3 linked regions of the Tamandua tetradactyla genome follow. The protein of the gene in region 2 interacts with the protein of the main gene of each other region in a pairwise test. Links are inferred from orthologs where the notes say so. Each region holds a gene or a part of one and is shown on either strand. Other genes may lie near its edges.

Evidence for each region.
Region 1: the proteins of MEIS2 (region 2) and OSGIN1 interact in binary tests that used the Homo sapiens proteins (3 or more experiments, as listed by UniProt). The two-hybrid records come from large-scale screens. The link is inferred for Tamandua tetradactyla from reciprocal best matches to the Homo sapiens genes MEIS2 and OSGIN1.
Region 3: the proteins of MEIS2 (region 2) and PBX1 interact in binary tests that used the Homo sapiens proteins (3 or more experiments, as listed by UniProt). The link is inferred for Tamandua tetradactyla from reciprocal best matches to the Homo sapiens genes MEIS2 and PBX1.

The regions. Positions count from the first base shown.
Region 1 is NC_135342.1:78,631,565-78,638,729, forward strand, and holds the start of OSGIN1 (oxidative stress-induced growth inhibitor 1), read left to right. Parts: upstream 1-3,790; 5' UTR 3,791-3,910; intron 3,911-7,165. UniProt on the Homo sapiens protein: Monooxygenase catalytic activity. Involved in regulation of cytokinesis; promotes RHOA activity, probably acting locally at the midbody in late cytokinesis.
Region 2 is NC_135340.1:50,203,103-50,210,267, forward strand, and holds the start of MEIS2 (homeobox protein Meis2), read right to left. Parts: upstream 4,351-7,165; 5' UTR 3,279-4,350; coding exon 3,267-3,278; intron 2,776-3,266; exon of another isoform or gene 2,691-2,775; coding exon of another isoform or gene 2,682-2,690; intron 1,901-2,681; coding exon 1,668-1,900; intron 147-1,667; coding exon 5-146; intron 1-4. UniProt on the Homo sapiens protein: Involved in transcriptional regulation. Binds to HOX or PBX proteins to form dimers, or to a DNA-bound dimer of PBX and HOX proteins and thought to have a role in stabilization of the homeoprotein-DNA complex.
Region 3 is NC_135330.1:17,809,857-17,817,021, forward strand, and holds the start of PBX1 (pre-B-cell leukemia transcription factor 1), read left to right. Parts: upstream 1-2,580; 5' UTR 2,581-3,027; exon of another isoform or gene 3,028-3,266; 5' UTR 3,267-3,317; coding exon 3,318-3,508; intron 3,509-6,650; coding exon 6,651-6,724; intron 6,725-7,165. UniProt on the Homo sapiens protein: Transcription factor which binds the DNA sequence 5'-TGATTGAT-3' as part of a heterodimer with HOX proteins such as HOXA1, HOXA5, HOXB7 and HOXB8. Binds to the DNA sequence 5'-TGATTGAC-3' in complex with a nuclear factor which is not a class I HOX protein.

The sequences.
Region 1 (7,165 bases), on a different chromosome or scaffold from region 2:
TGTCCCCGAGAGCCGCCCCTCGCCGGTCCCCGGGCCAGGCAAGGAGCCCAGTGGCACAGCCCGCAGGGCTGCGGGGCCACCTCCCAAGGCTGGTTGTTTGCCAACTGCCGGGGCCGCTGGCTTGTAGCAGTGGCGGTCCTGAGCGTGCAGCACTTGTGGTCGGAGCGCAGAGACGGGCGGTGTAGACATCACCAAGCCGAGGCATCCGGCTCCAGTGCCGTTGTTCGTCTCCTACCCCCCGGCCCGCGCTCTCGGCTCCCGCCACCAGGAGCTCCTAGTCAGCGTCAGGGCCTGAAAGGACGGGCTGAGCCTAGCAGACGTCCTCGCTGAGGACTCAGAGTCCCCCAGGCTTCTGAATGAAGGAGACTTCAGAAAGAGTAACTCGGCCACTTTGATTAAATGAGGTTATTGTTTTGTGCAAACATCTCACACACGGGGAAGCAGTCTGTGAAGGTGTCTGTCTCCCGACACACCAAACAGCTTTCCCCTCGGGCCTCTCTAAGGCCGGGTCCTTCCGAGGGGCTGGGACAGAGAGCAGGACGGGCAGGAGAGGCTGCGGCGCTGTGGCCGCGTGGGGACCGCCCGGCTTGGCGCTGAGGGGTGGAGGTCGGCTGGGTTGCGGCCAGACGCAGCTCTGCGCCCCTTCCACAGCCCCACGGGCACTTGGTAAATTTTCTTTCAAAAATCTCATTTGCACTCATTTTTCAAACGCACTAAAAGCACCCTCCACCCAAATACAACGTAGCAAAGAAGAGCGCCTTGGCGCCCACAACCCGCTTGCGTCGGAACTCCCCCGCTGCCCCGCGAGGGCGCCCATGCGGGGAGATGTGCTGGGCGCCTCGGTCACTTGCAGCTTTCTGTCCATGCAGAGCAGAGTGTGCCCTCAGGCCCGTGCACCGGGGGAGACGCGGGCGCAGGCAGCTGGCTTGAGTCAGCGCTGGTCCCCCGGCCCTGGCTTCACCCCTTTTCATCATCCTCAAAACAGCCTCGTGGCCAAAAGCTAAGGTTTTCACCCAAGACTCTGGGCCGGTGTAGCTCCACCCTGCAGGGAAGCAGCTGGTGGCGAAAGTGCTTCCAAGAGGCGTGCAAGGAATTAAACATAGTGGCAGTCCCCGGACACACTTAGACTCAGGCCAGGCTGTAGGGGTGCTGCCAGGGGCCCACACTGTAGAGGGCGCTGCATCTTGCCAACACATGCCCCAAGTTAATCCATTAACAGACAGGCGGGCATCTCTGCCACCTGGAACCCACCCTCAGTGCCAGCCCAGCACCCACCACCGCACAGCCTTATCCCCATGCCGCCGGAGCCCATGCTTCCCTCCCCCCCCGCCTGACACCCCTGAAGGCAGCTGCATCCAAGGACTGGGAAGGTGGGGGGTCAGCTGCTGCCGCCAGGGGCAGATGTTGCACGGAGCCCAGGGAGGGCTTGAGACGCTGATGTCAGAACTGGTGACAGCCACCTGTCGGGCGCAGGACACCAAGGGCTTCCCTCGGGTCACGGTACCCATCTAAGGGCGGGGTTCTGTGTGCCTGAGCTTCATCCCCCATGCAGGCGCCAGGGCCCTGCACACACCCGGCATCCTCAGTCATCTGTTCCACTGACATCACACCACAGCTGTGCACGCTGAGCAGAGGGCAGCTGGTCAGGCTGAAGGCGCCGGTGCGTTTCCCCAGCACCCAGCTGTGGGCCCTAATCCAGGCTTCATCACCACCAGCCGGCCACCCTCACTGAACTGGCAGTAAGTAAACGTCTCCATCTGAATTTACAAAACAAATGAAAGCCAAAGAAGAGCCATCTTTTGGTTGGTCTGCTTTTTTATTAATTGGCATTCCAAGTGAGATCTTTGTTTATTAAAATGGTTCTGTGGCTGCTGGGGAAAAAAATAAGGAAAATGTTGGACGTGACGAATTGAGGGTCCCTCTGCATGGCCATGGGGCCTGGGGCCTAGCAGCCCCCCACAGGCCCTTGGCCACTCTCCTTCTCTTGAGGAGGCCACTGCAGCAGCCACAAGGCTTCCGGATTCTGCCAGCCCAGAGCCGCTTCTAGAACCTTCTGTGGTCTAGCTTCTCCCACTGCCGCTCCTGCTGCTGGGGAGAGGTGGACACTTGCCCTTCCTAGGCCTGCAGGACCCGCCTTCCCTGGATGCACATGGCTTTGGAGCATCTCTGAGCTCACCCACCATCTCCTCGGATGCGTGCTCCCCTAAAATCACGGCACAAACTCACCCTGGGCTCGGAGGCCACGTGCTGGGGTCAGTTCAGGAAGACCTCCTGGGGGTACGGCCGGAGACGGATGCCCACTGCCTCAGGATGCACACAGAGAAGGCAGGCGCGCTTCCTCGGCAGCACAGCCAGCCCCTTGCGGATGGGCGCCTCTGAGAAACAAGGTCCCCAGGGCCTGGGGCCGTGTCTCGAGGGGGGTCCACACAGAGCACCCTGCCCGCTGGCCTCCCGGTCCTCCAGCCCGTGAAGGGCTCTCAGCAGACACGGCTCACCTCCACCTACCTCGGGTTTGTCTGTGGAGGAGCCTGGGCCCCAAAGGGGTGTCAGCACCGAGGAGGGGAACTCCCTGCCCTTGAAGTGGGGGGGACCCAGGATGGCAGTGCCCTGACCAGGTGTTGGGGGTGGGGGGTATCCCCGGAGGCCAAGGATGCAGTGGCAAAGGGTGGGAGGTAGAACCCAGACTCTCTCCATGCAAAGCCTCAAGGGCACTGGACATGTCAGCCTTGCCTCAGTTTCCCCCCTGCAACAGGAACTCCTAGTTCCCGCTCCCCCCACCTCCAGGGCACATTGTGGGCAGGTGACCTCCCAGGTGGGATTGTGTCTGAGCCATGGTTCAGGCATTTTAAATTTAAAACAATTTTAATGTTTTAACATTTTGATTGTGGTAACAGATATGCAACATAACATTTCCCATCTTAGCCACTCTTGGATGTGCAGCTCAATGGGGTTCATTACAATCACAGTGCTGTGCGCCCCCCATTGCCCACACTTTGCCATCCCCCAAGTAGAAACTCTCCCCCCTGCCACCCCCACCCCACCCCAGCCATCCCCCGGCCACCACCCCCAGCCACCTCTAATTTATGCTCCGTCTCTGTGAATCAGCACATTCTAGTTATTTCACAACTGGGAGCTCACACAATACTTGTCCTTTTGTGTCTGGCTTATTGCACACTACATTATGCTTTCAAGGTCCATCCGGGTTGTCGCATGTAACAGAACTTCCCTCCTCGCAGCTGAGTGAAACTCCAGTGTTCTCACTTTGTTTCTTCATCCATCTGCCATGACCTCGGGATGCTTCGACATTTCAGCCGTTGGGGACAATGCTGCTGCGAGCCCTGGTTCCCGAACAGCTGTCCCCTGGCACCGGGATGGCCGGGCCCTGTAGATAATTCAGGTGGTTCAGCTTCGGCGACCTGCCAGGGCCCCCCAGCCAGAGGGCAGCTGCTGCAAGTCTGTCTGTCTGCCTTTCTCCCTCCCCTCCCAGTTCACCCTTCTCCCTGCTGACTTCTGCACCCCTGTGCTCACCTGGCCCCCAACACCACCCTTCACCACAGGTGCAGACAAGCCCCTCCGAGGTGGGGTGTCTGCCCCCAGAGCCCTTCAGTGCCCACCTACAGGCACCACTCATGTGCTTGGCCAGGTGTGCCCCTTTCCGGATGTCCCTGGGGAGGTGGAGGCCAGCCTGGCAGGGCGGCAGAGGAAGGAGCCGGACAGAGCTCCTCTGAGGTGGCCCGGCCGCCAGGCAGGACTTTGTGATGCCACAAAAAGGCCAGCCTGGCCTCTTATCCCCACCTCCCCTGTGGTCACATCCAGGGGGGCCCCCAGGGGAGGGCCAGCTCCACTGCTGCCTGCTCTCCTCCCAGCCAATGCCTGCGATCCCCACTGCACACAGCCCACTCACCACCAGGTAAGAGGGCCGCCATGGGGGGGTAGACGTGCCCTGGGGGAGCCCTGGGGCCTGGTGGGGGTACCTGGAAGGGCTAGGTGCAGACCCCCGGCCCAGAGAGCAGGAGGCGCTCTGCAGGGGAGGGAACCAGGCCCCCTGTCCCGCCATCCCTGGGTGGAGTTCAGTGCCACCACTGCCTCACCGAGATCTCGGAAAAGTGCCCAGACCCCTGACCCTCAGTCTCCCCAGCAGTAAATGGTGCTAGCAGGGGTCCCCCATATACTGAAGCCCACCAGCCATGGTTGCTGCACCCAGAGCTGACCACCAGCTTCCCAGCCAGGCCCAGCCGTGCTGCCCAGCACCCCTCACTCCCCAGAACACAGCCCTTACCAGCCCCCATCCCCTCGCCACCATGGGCCAGGCCTGGGACATGGTGAGGAGTATCAAGGAGGGGGCACGGGGGCCTGGGGTGGGTTCTCCTTCTGGGGTCTCGTCCTTGGCATCAGGTCTCCCCGAGCAGCTCAGGCCATAGGCGCCGGGTGTCGGGGGTCAACCCCCCCAGGAAGGCTCTGGGCACCAGGTGTGCGCTGGCGGCCCACAGGATAAACTGCAGCCCCCCGCCCCCGCACTGGGCTCTGGCCTAGGGAGCTTCGGTTCTCGAAGGCACGAGCCCTCCCTGTCCAGCTCGTCCCATTCAAGGCACTGCCTGGTTCCTGCTCCCCGGTCCTGCCAAGGCAGGCAGGGCTGGGGTTTGAACCCAGGCCTCTGAGGATGGGTTCACTGCACATTAGAATCCTGGGGGCTCTGAACAAAGCCGAAACCCAGCTCCAATCATCAGACCCGATCAGAACCCCTGCACAGGGGCCGCACCAGCCCTGTCCCAGACCCATCAGCAGGGGACAGAAAGCTGGGCTTGGACAGTGGCCAAAGCACACGCCCCACACCTGCCATGTCACTGTGGGATATCTCCTGCACCCCAAGCCCCCGGTCCCCTCCCCAGCACTCAGGAGCTCACTGAGTCGCCCCAAGCCTCTCCCGTCCCCTGCCGCCTATCTGCGGGTCTGCAGTTTGGCAGGGTCAGCCCCACTCCCAGCCATGGGAGGTCAGTGCCTGCGACACACAGGGGCCCGAGGCCACAGCCGCTGCGCCCCTCTTGTGCGCCTTTCTGGCTGGCTGACATGGGGAAGGTCAGCGTGTCTCAGTTTCCCCATGTAAAGTGCCTGGGGCAGCAGCTACCTCGTGGGGATGCTGGGAGGACCCAACGAGTAAAGCGGGGAAGTGCTGAGCTCAGTAGGAGCAGGTTAAGGGGTGATCCCTCACCCCGGGTCTGCTAGCAGACGTCTTCCCACCTGCCCCTCTGCAGGCCAACGGCCCGAGCACGCTCGCTCGGGTTCACACCGGTGGCCGCTGGCCTGTGATGGGGAAGAGGAACTCACCTCCCAGACTGTCTGCTGCCCGTCCCCGGCTTAGAGGGAGCAGCCGCTGGCAGGTGCAGCCAGGTGGAGCAGGGCCGCACTTGCCTCTACCCCGAAGCCACCTTTGGCAAACAAAGGCAGAGGATGTGCTGCCAGAAAGGCTGATCGGTGCCCCGGCCAGGGCAGGCAGGGGCCAGGGCTCTCGTGCTCCCCTGGGCTGCCCTTCCCTGCACCCCATGCCTGGGTCTCCCTCCCGGGCCTCTCTAAATCCCAGGAGTGACGGAAGGGCTCACAACTGGGCTAGAACGGAGTTCACAGCCCTAACCTAAATAAAAACGCCTTTCCCTGGGCTGCAGTTGCCTGGCAAAGCCCTGGCAATAACCCATCACCGCAGGCAGTTGGGGACTTAGAACAGATCTTCTCCCCCAGTCTTGGAGGCAGAACCTGAAATGGAGGTGTCCTGTGCCTCCATAGCCTCTGAGAGAGGGTCCTGCTCAGCCACGTGCAGCTTCTGGGTGCCCCACCCTTCCCCACCCCAGTGTCTCTTGGCTTGTGGCTACGCCCCTCCCGTCTCTCTCCCATCTTCCCACAGCCTCCCCTCTACATCTCTGTCTTCTGTTCCTTAGTTGGACATCGGTCTCTGGATTTAGGGCCCACCTAGAGAATCCAGGACGACTTTGTCTGGAGGTCCTCAACTTAATTACATCTACAAAGACCCTTTCTCCAAATAAGGTCACGCCCGCAGGTTAGGATGCAGGGGGATGCATGCAACCCACTCCCCCTCCCTCCCTTCTCTGCAAGCCATGATGGTGTCTACGCATGGACATGGAAAATTAATTGGGCCTCTCCTCCCTGCGCCCCTCCACTCATTAGTAAAAGGGTGGGGAGAGGAGTGGATGCATAAACTTTGTAAGCTGTTAGAGATGTGAAGTCCTTTGAGAGCCCAGTCTGACCCCCTTGTTTTCAGGTGAGGGACCCAAAGCCCCAGCCGTTTGCTTCTGCGCCATTTCAGACCCTTCTGCTTCTCTCCCCGACGCCACCATCGCCTCGCCCCCGACCTCAACAGCCTCTGCCTGCCCTCGCTGCCTCCCACTTTGCCCTCTCCTTCTGCCCCAGTGGCCTTTCTGGAACCCTGCCTGGCCCATCTCCATCCTGCTGAACCCTTCACAGGTTCCAGCACCCTCGGGCAACATCAGCTTCTGCCATGGGGCCAGCCTCTTCCTCTCCAGCCTCCCTCTCCCTCCCCACCGGCGAGGCGGCCTGAGAACCACCTGCCGAGCCACTTCCAGGATTTGTGACTGGGCCTAGAAGCATTCCCCCTGCCCCCAGCCCTGCCACCTACAGCCTGTTTTGGCTCGGCTCTGGTCACTCTTGCAGAGAATCTCTGCGACCCTCCTAGCCACTCTCTCAGCTTCCCCGTGCCTGGCCACCAGCACTCGTGGGATTTGCGGCTGTCCTCTGTGGGTGTGTCCCCCCTCCCCTGATCGGTGAGCTGTGCCGGGACGGCCCCTGGATGTGCTTCCCCTGTGCTCTCGGGCAGATGGAATGTGACCTGCCACCATCTCGTGGCCAGGAAGGCACCCAGCTCCGGCCCCCTGACTCCCAATCCAGTGCTCTCCTTGGTCTCAGCCAGAGAGAAAGCCAAGTGGCAGCTCCTGGCGATCCAGGGCTTGGAAGGTGCCTGCTGGAGTGACCCTTCTGACGTTGTCTCCTGGGACAGGAAGGTCAGTCCCAGTGGGAGGTGCCAGGGGACCATGGTCATGCTTAAGGAATGCTGTAGGCCCTTTTACACCACACACACTTACTGAGCAGCTACTGTGTGCCAATCTCTGTTCTAGGCCCTTGGGGTACACCAGTAAAC
Region 2 (7,165 bases):
GGACCTGCTTGGCGAAGACCGCGATGTCCTCGTTGAAGGAATCGGAGGAGCAGACGTCTCCGCCGGCCACTCCGGGTTCCCGGGGAGTGCAGGTCGCCAGCTCGCACTTCTCAAAGACCAGAGCTAACAGAGGAAACAACGGGTGCCTAACGGGCAGCGCCACGCAGAGACACACACAGGGAGACAGAGTGCAGAGGGGAAGGAGCGAGAACTGTAATCAACAAGTTTGGAGGGTTTGGATTCCTTCTTTAACATAACAGGCACGCATCACACTTTACAACCCTTTCTCGGCCAGCCGATCCTGGCCCAGAAACAGAAAGGAAAAACGTCCTGACCTTTTCCTTCAGCCCAGAAGTCCCCCCACCCCCACCCCCGGCTCTGGTCAGAGAAGCCCCCTGGCCACTTTAGCCCGCCAAGTAAAAACAGCCTCAACTGAAACGCAAGGAAACATACGAGAAGCTCAGGGTTACCCACTCCCACCACCGCACAGGCCACCGAACCAACCCCTGCGACCCAGCCTTGACCTCCTAAGAAAGGAAAACCCTCTAAAATCAAAATTTGTTTCCGCTCCGCTTTTTAATAAGAATTTCAGAGGAGGCCGAAGCCTTCACCTATATACACACCCGGAATGATATTTCCTAAATCCGAGAAAGTGCTCTTCTAACCTCTCCACCCCCTTGCCTTATAAACTTGTTTGCTTTACTCCTAGTAAAGTTCGGGCGTGGGGGACAAAATAATAAGAATGTTGAACGCTGAAGAACCTCCTTCCAAAGACCACATTTCTCCCATGGTTGCTCCAGCCCAAAATAAACAATTCGAGTGTTAAAATTTGGAAGTGTGCGTGCGCGTTTGCCCTTTGTGTTCCTCCGGGCGGTTTCGCTGCACTTCGGGATGCTTGCGGCCTCTGGCCTCGGGGTTCAGTTGGGGTTTACCGACTGTCTCCTCCCCTCAGCATCCCGCCGCCTATCCCCACCTACCCTCAGTCTGCAGAGCCGGTGCGGTGTAAGTTTGCCACCGTGCACCCCCACCCCTCCCGGAGTTCTCTCAGAAAATAAAATAATTTCAAGCCCTCTCCTTTTCTCCCTCCAAGAGCGGCTCTTTGCAAGCAGCAGTCCCTTCCACCCCGCTGCACTTCAAGTTCTGCCCCCTTTATTTACAGAGAATTAAGGAGTGGGTGATTAGGACTTCCTGGCCGACAGAAGGAGCCCTGATCCCAGCTCAAGCTGCATTTACTGCCTCCCAGACCCTCGGTAGGAAACAGAAGAGAAATCAAAACAAAACAAAAAACAAAGTTGCTTCTCATCAGGAGGAAAGTTTCCCCTTCGTCAAGGCCTCTGTTAGGGGGCCTGGAAGGACCAGCTCTGCGCCCTTCGGCCAGGAGTCCTGCCCTTGGGCAGAAGGCCCTGGAAGGATTCTGAGGACTTGGTCACTCCGGGGCTGTGGGGTCCGGAGTGGAGGGGCCCTGGGGGTGGAGGAGGCCAAATCTTCCGGGGACTTTTAGCAGGCAGAAGAGCGGCCCCCCTTCACTGTCCTTTCCTAAGGCAAGTGGCTTTCCCCCCAAGCAGACATAACTCCCCACTTCGTCCACACCCTAACCCCACAGAGACAAATACACATTCGCACTCACACTCACACACAGTAAGCTGGGTCCGGGAAGGTCGGTTTACCCGTAGATCGCGTCCTTGTCCCGCTTCAAGGCGTCGTTGACAGCGGATCCCATGCTGGCCGGCATGACATTGGGGTGCGGGGCGTGTGCGCCGTAGTGCTGCGTGGCGTGGAGCGGCGGCCCGTGGTTCAGGTGGTGAACCGGGGGGATCGGCCGCGGCGCGTGAGGGTCTCCGTACATGGAAGCCGGCACCCCTACTCCGTCCATCCCGCCGTAATGGGGCAGCTCATCGTACTGTCAGAACCCGGCAGGACGGAAGGTGGTGGGCAGGAGGTGAGAGAGAGCCGGGGAGAGCAGAAAGAGGAAGAGAGAAAGTAGGCAGCGGGGCAAAGGGGGAATGAGGAGAGAAGTGGGAAAGGATCAGATGAGAAAGAGAGAGGGAGTCCGAGGGAAAGGAAAATAGAGCGGAGGAGAAGAGGGCGGGAGGGGGAGAGAGAGGGAGAAAGAGAGGGAGAGAGACAGGGAGAGAGAAAAGGAAAGAGTATGAGAGAGAGAGAGAATATGGTGCAAGAAAAAAAAAAAAACGGAGGAAGGAGAGGGGAAAATAAAAATAAAAGCGAAGTCAGAAAGGAGAAAAGTACCGAGCACGAGTTGAACATACAGAAACCAAACCAGCGAAAACCACGGAGTTTAAAGTTGTGGGGGGGGAATGTTCTTAAATTTTAAAATGAAAAAGTATGAACGAGGAGCAGCTTAGAGAAGGGAGAGGGCGGGGAGCTTAGGCCGGGGACCGAGGGGGTTCCGGGAGGCCCCGCTCGGTCGGGAGGCAGCAGAACCGCGGCGAGCCAACCAACGGAGAAGTGCAGTTAGTGTGCGGAGGAAGCCCCGATCCCACCCCTAACCCCCCTTCGCCTCCTCCAGAGGATCCAATAAATCAAAAGGCGAAATGAAACAAAATAAAGAAGAAAAAAAGCTAATAATCAGGACGAGATCGCCGAGGACGGGGAAAGGCTGGGACCAGTGCCTCCCGGGGGGCAGGGAGCGGAGGGTGGGGGAGGAATAACGTGAAAGTTACCAGAAACATTATTTAGCAGCGGATTCCCTGCGTCCTTGTCAATTTCAGAGACAAAACAAGCAGCCCAGGCTAGTCTAGGCGGCGGCGCAGCGGCTGCGGCAACGCGGCCCCAGCAGCGGCCCCGGCGGCGGCGGCGGCGGCGGCGGCGGCTCCTACGCAGCCGGTGCCCGCCCCGAGCCGCAGGAGCAGCGGCGGCAGCGGCGCGGCAGCGGCAGCGGCGGCAGCAGGAGAACCAGGGGAATCGCGCTGCTGGGGTAAAAGCTGGAGCGAGGCGAAAGCGTGTAACAATTGCACATACACACACACACACACAGCACTCACACGCACTCGCCGTCCGCCCGCTCGCACAGCGCTGGAACACGCGCGCCCAGACACGCACACACGCACGCACACACACTCGCACACACGCAGAGGCACGGGGGGGAAAGAAGCCGATGAATAATTTTGCTGCTTTTAAAAAAAATACTGGCCGCCATCATCAAGCAACCACCAGCAGCAGCAGCGTTGAAGGGAGAAGAGGCTTCGGGACAGGCCCCTCTTAGGAGAGGATTTATATCTAGGTAAGTGTTGGAGATTTAAACCTACCCTTTGCGCCATCAGTCTGCGCTCCAATAAACTCCTGGATGTGTCGTATATTTAATATCCCAGTCCGGATAAGAAAGTGATCTAGGCTGAAGAGTCCTTTTTTTTTCCCAGACCAAGGAGACTTCTCCCAGTTCTCCAATATGTTATTTTTAGGGGAAAAAAAGCCCAGGCAAGACAACGAAGAGTTTTTTTTTCCTTGTGATATTTCTTCTTTTTCTCTTTTTTCCTCTTCTTCCTCCTCCTCCTGATCTTCCTCCTCCTCCTCCACCTCCTCCTCCTCCCCCCTCCCCTCCTCCTCCTCTTCGGTCCTCCTTTCCCCCTCTTTCTCTTTTCTTCCCCTCAGTTGGAAAAAAAAAAAAAAAAAAAGAAAGAAAGAAAGAAAAGGAAGAAGAAAAAGAAGAAAAAAAAATTGTCAAGCCCCCGAACTGAAGGTTACGAGCGGCCCGTCAGCAGCCCACATGTAACCGAACTGTCGTGTTTCATGGCTTTTTGCCACTCCAGCTGTCAATCAAAGCCCGGAATGTCAAGGTAGTGAATGAATGATGGTTGATGATGATGAAGAGGAGGAATCTTTCAGACCGTTTTTTTTTTTCTCTTCCAGCAAAACTCCGCGAGGGGTTTCTGCTTCTTGATTTTTTTCCTCCCCCTCCCCCCCCTCTTTTGGCTTTGCCCCCGCGGTATCTATAATATGATCCTCTCTCGTTAAAGTATTTTTCAAAGAAAGCAGAGGGTAAAAAATCAAGAAAAAAATAAATAGTTTGCAAAAATTGGACTTCCTCCCCCCCTTTCCTGGTAGGTATTTTGTCTCTCCCTCTCTCGCTCGCTCGCTCGCTCTCACTCGCGCTCGCTCTCTCGCGCTCTCTTTCTCTCTCTCTGGGAGATGAGTGAGTGTCAGTAGGTGTTGGCAGGTTGGCTGCTGCCTGGCTTATAGAAGAGCCTCAGTTTGGCGGCGAGGGTCGGCGGCGGGAGAACGAAATGACGGAACCCGGAAGTCGTGGTGGCCATAGCCCGTCGTACGGCGGAGACACATCCCGGGAGTGGGGAGCGGGAGCGAGGAGGAGCGCGCCGCGCCGAGCCTCTGATATGCAGCGAGTGCGATCGGACTGCCCCGGCTGGGGAGGGGGGTGGGGGAGGGGGGCGGGGAGCGGGAGGGGGAGGGGAGGCAGGAGCCGAGCGGACCCCAGCAAATCAGTGAGCCTTCTCCTCCGCGGGGACGGCAGGGGGAGGAAGAGGAGTGTGTGTGTGTGTGTGTGTGTGTGTGTGTGTGCGCGCGCGCGCGCGCCCGCGCGCGCGCACGGGGAGAGTGAGAGAGAGAGGGGGAGAGAGAGAATGAAGAGGACAGGGAGAGCACAGAAAGGAAAACTGCAGAAAACCACAGGGAAAGTACGGTACAGCCTCCGATCTTTTATTTATTTTTTATTTTTTTAAAAACTTACTTCTAGTTCATTTTCCCATTACTTGGGGCTCCTGCCTAACTGAGTCGCGGCGGGGACGTTTGGCATGGCGCTCTTGCTTTTGTTCCTTTTAATTCCTCGGCCCCCGACTCGCTCTGCCTGCCGATGACCACCCCCCGAAGGCTTGCCGGTAACACCCCAGGGCAGCAGCCTCCGTTCCACAGAGGGTACCACCGCCGGGCTAGACTTTTTTTTTTTTTTTTTTTTTTTTAATGTGGCACTTTTTGCCCTGTGCAGATCCAGGACGTTTGTCAATACTCATTTTTTTTTTTCTCCAGGACAAGAAGAGACCAGATTAACTCTGGGCGCTCTCCCCGAAGGCTGTGCGGACAAGGGCCACCCGGGAGAGTCTTAGAAGGGCCGCGGCGGAGGAGGGAGGAAGGGAGTGGAAAGGCAGTCGGAAGGGTGCCGTTCGGACGTCTGATGCCCGATGTCGCCAACGGTGTGTGCTTGTGTACGTGCATGTGAGAGAGAGACTGGTGTGCGTCTCCAAAAGTGGGTTTCACTTAGAGCTGGGAAGCCTGGGGGAGAGAAGGCGGGGGTGGAGGGGGCAGTGGGAGGGAGCGAGGGAGAGAGAAAGAGAGAAGATGCCGTGGAAGGAGGAGTGGCCGGCGCTCCCTACCCAGCTTTGTTGTGGTCGCCCAGGGCGCAGCGGCCTCCGCGCGGTAACGTCTGCTAATGGCTCTGTTAATTACACCGGGGCGAATTCGCTCGTTCAGAAAGATGGGGTTGACTCCGAAAGAACTTTTCCAGAAAGAAAAAGGAGAGTGGGGGAAGGAAGGTAACTACCCCACACAGTTTGTGGACATTAGTTCTGGCCGGTATCTCGCCCAATCCCTGGCCCGAGTCGTACCGGGCCTTACCTCTCTGCGCGGCTAGTTTCCCCGCGGCCGTGCGTCAATCAAGCCGAGCCCGGAGCTGGGGGGCGGGGCCACGGTCACTCCGCGCGCGCCGTGTGGTCGCTCACGCCGCCCCCAGACTCTTGGCTTCCTGGCCAGGCGCTCCGAGGGTGCGTTCTCCCCAATTCTTCGCTCTCGTCCTCTTTCATGGTCCCCTGCCCAGAGAATCGAAAACAGATTGTTCCTCAACAGCAGCCTCCCTCCTCAACTTTGAACCCATTCTGGAAAGTAGAAAGTAGCTTGTCTTCCGCGCGACTGCCCCGATAGGGAAAGAAGGGGTTGTGCGTGCGCGCGCGCGCTTGTGTGTGTGTGTGTGTGTGTGTGTGTGTGTGTGTGTGTGTGTGTGTCAGAAAGAGGGAGAGGGAAGGAGAGAGAGAAATTAGGGAGGAAGGGTGGGATGGCTTTTTTTTTTTTTTTTTTTTTTTTTTTTGCCCCCTTTCTGTTTCCACTGCTCTCTTGTAAGCTTTCGGGCAACACAAAGTAAGCTTAGATCGCAGCTTGCAGAGACTTCAAGCGGAGTCAGAAATTTGGCCGCGTTTTAATAGGGCTGGGGAATGAGCTGCGGAGGTCAATAAAGCCCTCCAAAAATGATGAATGATTGAGCACCTGTGATGATGATAGTGATTACCAGAGCAATTAAACAGTTTGATTAAATGAGCCATCATAACAGTGATGTCTGCGGGAAATCTGCCCTCACATATAAAGAAAGGGCGGAGGGGCTGGCAGCAGCGCCGGTAGCGCTACGCCAGGGAACCGGGCTGCGGGCCGCCAGCGTCAGGAAAGGAGAGTCTAGCTTTCAGCCACTCTTTTGCCCGACGTCAAGCCTGCGAGAGCCTACGATTAGGACACTCGAATTTTGCAGGAAGGGCCCTTCCCCCTCTACTTCATTTTTTTTTTTCCTAGAAGAATTCCAAGATTAAAGACATCCTTCTTGCTTGTTGCTGAGTTGCTCGTCGTCATATAAGAAAAGGTGAGTAAAAAATAAAAGAAGACGCAAAAGAAGAGAAAAGTTTGTCTCCAGCATTTTTTAAAAATTGTAATTTCACGCGGCAGTTAGGCGAATTCACTTTTCAGTTTAGCCGGGGTGGAAAAGATGAGGAGGAAAAAACAATCTGGTTTCGCCGCGTAGTGTTTTCGACTTAGCAGAGATCTTGATATTGGTGGATCCAAAGAACCTGGTGCAGCCCAGCTGGCTGAGAAGTTTAAGTCAGTTTTCCAGTTTTTACTCTTCCGTTTGTTCTTATTTTCAATATTGGGTATTTATTGTCGCCAATAGGATTGTTGTTGTTTGAAATGTCCTGTTAAATAAGAGCCAATTACTTTCCTTAAAAAAAAAAAGATACTCCTAAATGTCCTTGATAAATGCTTCTTTTGTAAAGCTCAACTTCGCTCTATAGCTATTGGCCACAGAGTTTCAACATTCAACGTGGTTCCTCCTGCTTCTTTATCATCTCCTTTTCTCTCAAGTGATAATGTGAGGTGGGTTAGTGTCCCTACAGCCTTCACTTAGAAAGACCTCACTAGCATTAAAAGAAAATTGTTTCTT
Region 3 (7,165 bases), on a different chromosome or scaffold from region 2:
GTTGGGCAAACAGGTAAGTCTTCCTGAAACATGCTTTTCTGCTTCCTTGTTTAAAGCAAACACTTCAGTGGCTCTCCAGTGTCTACCAGCTAAAGCACAAACTCTGATGTTGAAGGTCTTCACAACCATACCTTTCTAATATTCTTTTCATTGTGCCCAACAGAAACCCTGTGCGACAGTCAAATTCGTTAGCCTGTCCTCCAGATCCAATTCTTTCTTCGGATCTACCTTGGAACCAATTTCTAATCACCCAATCATGTTGTTTCTAATCCCTTATAGGACTTCTAGAACATGGTGACACTTCTGTAGCATGTATTATATACTGAAATGTATTTGGATAGTGCCATAGGATAATGGTTAAAAGCCTAGTTACTACGGCCAGCTGTCCTGATTCAATTAAGAGACCACCTTGAATATAATACCCTACCATGGTAAGCACTCAATAACATTAACCATAATAATTATTATTGTTGTTGTATACATTTCTTGTCTCCCTAATAAAATGTTGCTAGAAATAAAAATCTTTGTATATCGATGGTACTTTTCTCAATTTTTGCCCTGTGAGCTTTTATGAGGCTTGCAGTTTGAATTAGTTGCTCACAATGGCTTTCTTACAGGTTCTGGGTTGACTTCCTTTTCTTCTTTTATGATGTGATAACTTCCGTTGCTGTAAGGGCTATGCTAACTCACACTCACTGTGATGTGTGATTTGAGCATACAGTTTTGTGCCCAACTTTTGTTTAGGGTTGATAAAACAAATAGTTTAACACGAGTATGTATGTGAATAAAACAATTGTCCTAAAGTAATAGGACATTGTCTTACAATTAATACTCACTACTGAATGTTCTCATGTGAAGAAGTGCCAAGTAGCTTATTAAGAACTGCCTCAAAAAGCTTTCATAAGTGCCCCTTATCTTGCCAAACTCGTTTTGTATAATGATTGGGAAAGAGGCTGGATTGATGAAAGAATAACATTTTATTTGAGATCTCAAAGCATTCAGCAAGACTGCACTCCATTTTGCAGACTGGGAACACTGACGTTTGCAGTGCTTCAATACATTTCCTTTGCCATCTAGGGAGAGGGAAGGACAAGCAACAGAATATCTTACATTCCAAAATATGCTGGGCTTTTCCTGAGTAATTGCACTTCTATTTTATCTTATGGCCATTGTGAGTGTACAACCAGACAGATTTCCCCTTCTGCCCTGCCTAATGAAAAAGAGTCAAATTTCTGGTTTATCTAGGGTTAGAGTATAAGACTTTAGCAACAAGTGCATTTCTTTTCCTGATTCCATGTTATCCTTATTTTTCCTTATTCTTTCCTACCCATTTTCAATTTGAGTCATCTTGTTCTAATATATATCTTTGTAAGGATCTGAAGTCTCTTTTCATACAAGATGGGCAATAAATACATTAAAACTAGTTTTGACACTCTTCACTTTTCCATTAGACTAAGGCTGGTTGTATAATGCAAACGCCACACCCTTTGGAGAGACCCACACTTGGGTTTGAATTCCAGCTTTGATACTTAATAAAAGTGGGACCTTGGGCAAATTACTTAAGCTTTCTAAGTTCCCTCTCTATAAAATGGAAATAATAGTTCAATAGTTCATCTCACAGAGATGACTTGTGGATAAAGTAAGACAATTCATGTAAATTACTTGGTGCGTAGTAGGCATTCAATAAATGTCAATTCCTTTCTTCTCCTAGTTGCTTGTTAAACTATATTAAAAACTAGAACTGGACTGTGATAATGCATTTCTTAATATTAAGTATTTAAGCCAATAACTAATTTCCCCCAGGGGGGAACAGAGAGAAATGTTTGAATTAGTTTCATTTGGGGAACTTATTTTCATAATCTTTTTTTCTTCAGCATGATTTAGCTTCACGGTCCCCAATTAGTTTTTATGCAACAAAACGTCACAGTTCAGTATTCCTCTTAACTCTACTGTGATTGTTGTTTTTATCTATTATTGCATCTGCTGCTTATTAGAGATCATTATTAGTCATATTAACAGTTGAATTGGTTTTTATAACTCCTTCATACTGTCAAATGTTTGCTCTCAACAATTTCCATGAGTTCTAAGGATTTAAAAGAGTCAAGTTTTTAATGGCAACGTTACAGCTCCAAACAAAACAAACAAGCCAAAATAACCCGGGCAGAAAAAAAAAATCTCCCCTCGACCGTGTTCTTTCGTGTTAATTTTATACGTTTGCAATTAAGTAGAGCTACGTTTGCCTTAAGGCCGAAATCAAAATGTGCTGAGATCTGAGAAAGGAAAGAAAAGTGGAAAGTGACTAATTGAGCTGGAACTACGGTACCGTTGCACCTTTAAGGCCTGGAGACTTGGTATTAGCTCGGCCTCCTTCCCAGCCCACCTCTGAACTCTGATTGACAGGTCGCCCGGCGAGGAGGAGCAGAAGGAGGCTGAAGAGGAGGTGCAGTGAGGAAAGTAGCGAGAGGAGGGGCCCGTCTTTTCTCTGATGGCCAATCAGCGGAGGGGGGCGGGGCTCCGCACGCCCTCCTCCCTCCTCTTCCCCGCCTCCTGGTGTCCCCGCCCCCTCTCCCCTTTCCTCTGCCCCCTCCCCTATCCTCCTTCTCGTCGTCCTCCTCCTTCTCCTCCTCCTCCTCTCAGGCTGTGGTTTTTCTGTATATGTTTCTGGAGTCCTGAGCCTGAGCTAAACAAAAGCAGGAGGCTGACGGGGTTGCTGGAGTTTGCAGAGACACGGAGGAGAAGAGAGCCTGTGCTTTGCCTGCTGCCGCGGCTGGGGGAGATCTGGCTTTTGCAACAGCCCACCCCCTTTGAGATCACTCTGGCCCGGAGTGGGGGTGGGGGCAGCGGGGGGTGGGGGGGGGAAAGTTTGCATTGCAATCCCCCTGCCTTCCTTCCCTTTCTCCCGATCAATGCATATTTGCAAAAGGATTAAGCTACAGATTTAAGCGCCGGGACCCATTTCTGCTTTGCAAAGGAGACCGGACTGGGAAACCAAAAGCCAGCTCTGATTTCTTTTCGCCAAGTGGGAAGGTGGTTTATTTTTCTTGCTTTTTTGGAGTCAACACCCTTCCCCGCCAGCCCTTATCCCCACCCTCACCCCGCAACCCCTTCACGCCCCCTCCCCCTCCCCACTCCCCATCCTCCCACCATCCTCTAAAGAGGCAAAGGGATTTTTTTTTTCTTTTGGTCTTCTTTTTCTCTCCTTCCCTGTTTATCCTGAAAAGGATTTGAAGACAGCTTGAAGGATAAAAAGCCTTGGTGCTTTCCAGGAGCCAAGCCGAGAAGAAGAGGAAGAGCCGGGGCCGCCGTTGCCTTTGGAGATGGACGAGCAGCCCAGGCTGATGCATTCCCATGCTGGGGTCGGGATGGCCGGACACCCCGGCCTGTCCCAGCACTTGCAGGATGGGGCCGGAGGGACCGAGGGGGAGGGCGGGAGGAAGCAGGACATTGGAGACATTTTACAGCAAATTATGACCATCACAGACCAGAGTTTGGATGAGGCGCAGGCCAGGTGAGATGGAGGCTTTTCTTTTCCTTTCTTGGGTTTTTTTGTTTGTTTGTTTGTTTTTCCCCCACTCGCTGAGGGGAAACAATGGGAAGCGATCACCACAGCGCTTTCTTTTTAAATGTTATTTCTTTTCCCATTTTGACGAGCAGCTACATGGCGGAGGAGTAAAATTTGCAGGAGCGTTGTTATCGAAAGTGTAATCGCCCATGCCGTGATGTGGCTGTGTATACATATATCTAGATAGATGTGTGTGTATGAATATAGAAATACTCATATATAGCCACAAAAACATTCAGGGACGCTGAAAATGCTGCCAACTGATCCAGAAGCGGCCCTCGGCACTATTTACTGCTTTTAAAAAAAGTATCAGAGAAAGCAGAATTGTCAAGTTTTGAGCAGCATTCCATGCCTTCTTATTGAGGGACTCCGTTACATTACAAATAAAAGGTCCCAGGAACACTTTATTTGCAAATTTAGTTGTCTCCTTGCCTAATTCAGCGCAATTTTCTTTCTTGACTTACCCCTCCAAAATTAATGATATTTTCCCCCTTTATTCCCCCCCCTTCAAAAATCAGGGCATTTCTTTGTCAATAGTTGTCAGCTATCCGGAGAATATTTTGTTTTCACTTAATTCTATCTCAAAAAAAAAAAAACTAGTGGAAAGAAAGAGAATACAATTTTGCATTTAGACATATTTGTTCGGTCTAAGAGACTGAGATAATTCTGTTTAACTTTATTGTCTCAATTTGAGTCGGTTTACTAACCTTGGGTGACACGGACAGCTCTGTATGGTCCTTTAAAAAGGGGTGGGGGATAAAAATTAAGCATGCTCTTTTCCCCATGCTTTCTTCAGCACGGCTTAAAATGCAACTAAATAAAAAGGAAAGCATGTGTGAATTTTATGTATTTCAATACTGTAGGGCATGAAGATCTTCATTAAGGAAAAAGAAGCTGTGAAGCTTCCCAACTTAATCCACCGCCAGGTATATAGTCCTCCACTCTAGGATTTTACAGTAAATTCTCTTTCAAATAAAACAGACTAAGTGGCAACCTACTAACAGCTTGTCCAAGGCGGAGCTCAAAAGGGAGAATTTTAAAAACTAATGACCACATATGTCCATTCAATTACCCAGCTTTGTTAAATCTCAGAAGTATTCTCCTCATTCTGAAAATCTTCTAAACATATGTACATCATTCCTATATCGCAAATAGACTTAGTTATAGTAGTAGAAGACATCATTACATCATTATATGTATTTTGTCTTAAGGGAAATAGAAGTTTGAGTTGAGAAAATGAGAAGTGGTAGTAAAAAGCATGAATGCATGAATTACAGTCTTATTTTAGCTGTAAGCACATGCAACATGTAAACTCAAAAGTACTGAGCTTTACGGGTGCTCGAAAACTTGGAAATGTTCAAAGACTCGAACTATTCTAATTTTTTTTAATGGGGAAAAGTTTTCAGAAATTAATTGCTGTTCTTTGTGAATTTTATTACCTGTTCTCTTTTGAATTGGAACAGATTTCTCCATTACATTGATCCAGAAAAATACTCTGGATTATTTGCAAGTTTGTGAAGTGGAAGAGGCCAGTAAAAACGGTTACACACTACTTTTCTGATGTGTTGTCCTTCATTTTTTATGAAACTGAGGACAAACATGGCTTTGGGGGGGTCCCCCTTTTAAAGGCCTGGATGCTTAGAAAGATCAGACCATTTGGGGATAGGGAAATTCTCTGTTCTAGTACCCCATTTGTATGTTATGGAAATGGAATATTTGTGTAAGGCTGTGCAGGGATTTTTGTTTACACTTGGGCCTATGTTTAAGAATACAATTAATGAAAACTATTTTAAAAGATCACAAAAGAGGTCTTGAGTACATTAAAGAAGTCTTTTCTGCCCTTTCTCTCATTCCATATGAGGACTGATTAAATCACCAGTCTGCTTTCTTTTTGGTTAAACGATGTAACTCTATGTAGCAAATACTATGTCCTTTTTTCTTTTTCTCCAGTCATACCTTCATGATGTATATTAATGATTTACTCTGTAAATCATTAATATTTTAGACACAGACTGTGAGTTTATTTGGATAGTCATGAATTCTGAGCTTGTTAAACCTCTGCTCTACATTATTTACAGTATGCTTCTGGTTCATGAGGATGTGTATCTATTTTTTAACTTTCAAAGGGTTTAAAAATAAATTGCATGTGTTTTGAGAGCCAAGGATTTCCATTTATCTTTACACATTCATTTTAGTTAACAGAATTCCCTTGACTAATAGCTGATAGGACCAGTATTTTGTTTCCAAAACAATATCCTTCTGCTAAATGATTTTATAATAAAATAAAGGAAAAGGTATTGTTTTGTTCCTCTGGTGCATTCTGAATTCAAACACATGCAAGAATCAGGTAAATCACTAATCTAAAAGGCAGAATAGTATTTATTTTTTTCCCCAATGGGTGCAAGATTCTAATTGTAAATAATTGAATTTCAACACCTGCAAACAGGCAGTGTGTGCACAAGAGGCATAATGTGAACACCGAGAAATGAATTTATTCCCCATATGGGTATGTTTGCCCCCTGGCAATGCATTTCCATACTCTTTAAGTTGGGGACTGAAATTTTATAAATTGACAGTTCTACACAGAAGACCTTTCAAGCATCTTGTGTTTATGAGAATACAGGGGCATCTGCGGAATGAATTCGAACACATGGATGAATTAAATTTGAAAACACACACACAGACCGGGAGGCAGACGGCTCCTAGGCTGTGGTGGTTGCATAGATTATTCAGAACTGTTAACACATGCATTTGGCCTTGCTGTACTCATTGCTTTGGCTAGGAGTATTGGTTTAAGAATTCCACTTTGATTAAACTACTTAAAAAACAACAACAACTTTGTCTAAATGGGCATAATTTAGGTTAGTTCTGTTCTGCAGTTAAATCCCTATTCTCTCCCTACTGATGAACAGTATTTCTTTTTCTATGGTGGGACTCGCATATTAAGTCATAAAAACAACCGAAGCATGCCACAGAGTTACGCTTGGGATATAATTTTGGCTAAATGTTTAAATTTTCTTCCCTGGTGCATTATCAGCATTTGATCTTGAAAGTCTACCTAAGCTATCGTGTTGTTTCTTTCTTGCAGAAAACATGCTTTAAACTGCCACAGAATGAAGCCTGCCTTGTTTAATGTGTTGTGTGAAATCAAAGAAAAAACAGGTAGGAATGTGATTTCAGTATTTAAGCATTTTCTTTGTCAGTTGATTCACTCAGCAGCAAACACTAACCCATTATTTAAATATTAAAATTTCAGAATATAAGTACTATCAAGACTGATCGCATTTTTCAATAGGAACTTCTAGCCCAGCTTCCTTTAAAGAATGCACTAAGTTTCCTTGACAATTATTATCAAGTGTAACTGGTTTATTTTCCTTTTCTCCATTCCTGGCCTACTTGAAATTGAAATAATAATACAGGTTCTGAAGGGAATTTTATAAAATGTTGTGCCTTTGGGGGAAAATTATGAAAGTAAAAACCCCATGTCCTGAAGGAATATATTTGTCCCATATTTAAAACTGTAATTATTGCTATTATTTTTTGGAGTTGGGCATGGGGGTAGGACGGGCACTGAGCTGTTTTAAAGTTATCTTTTCTTTTTTT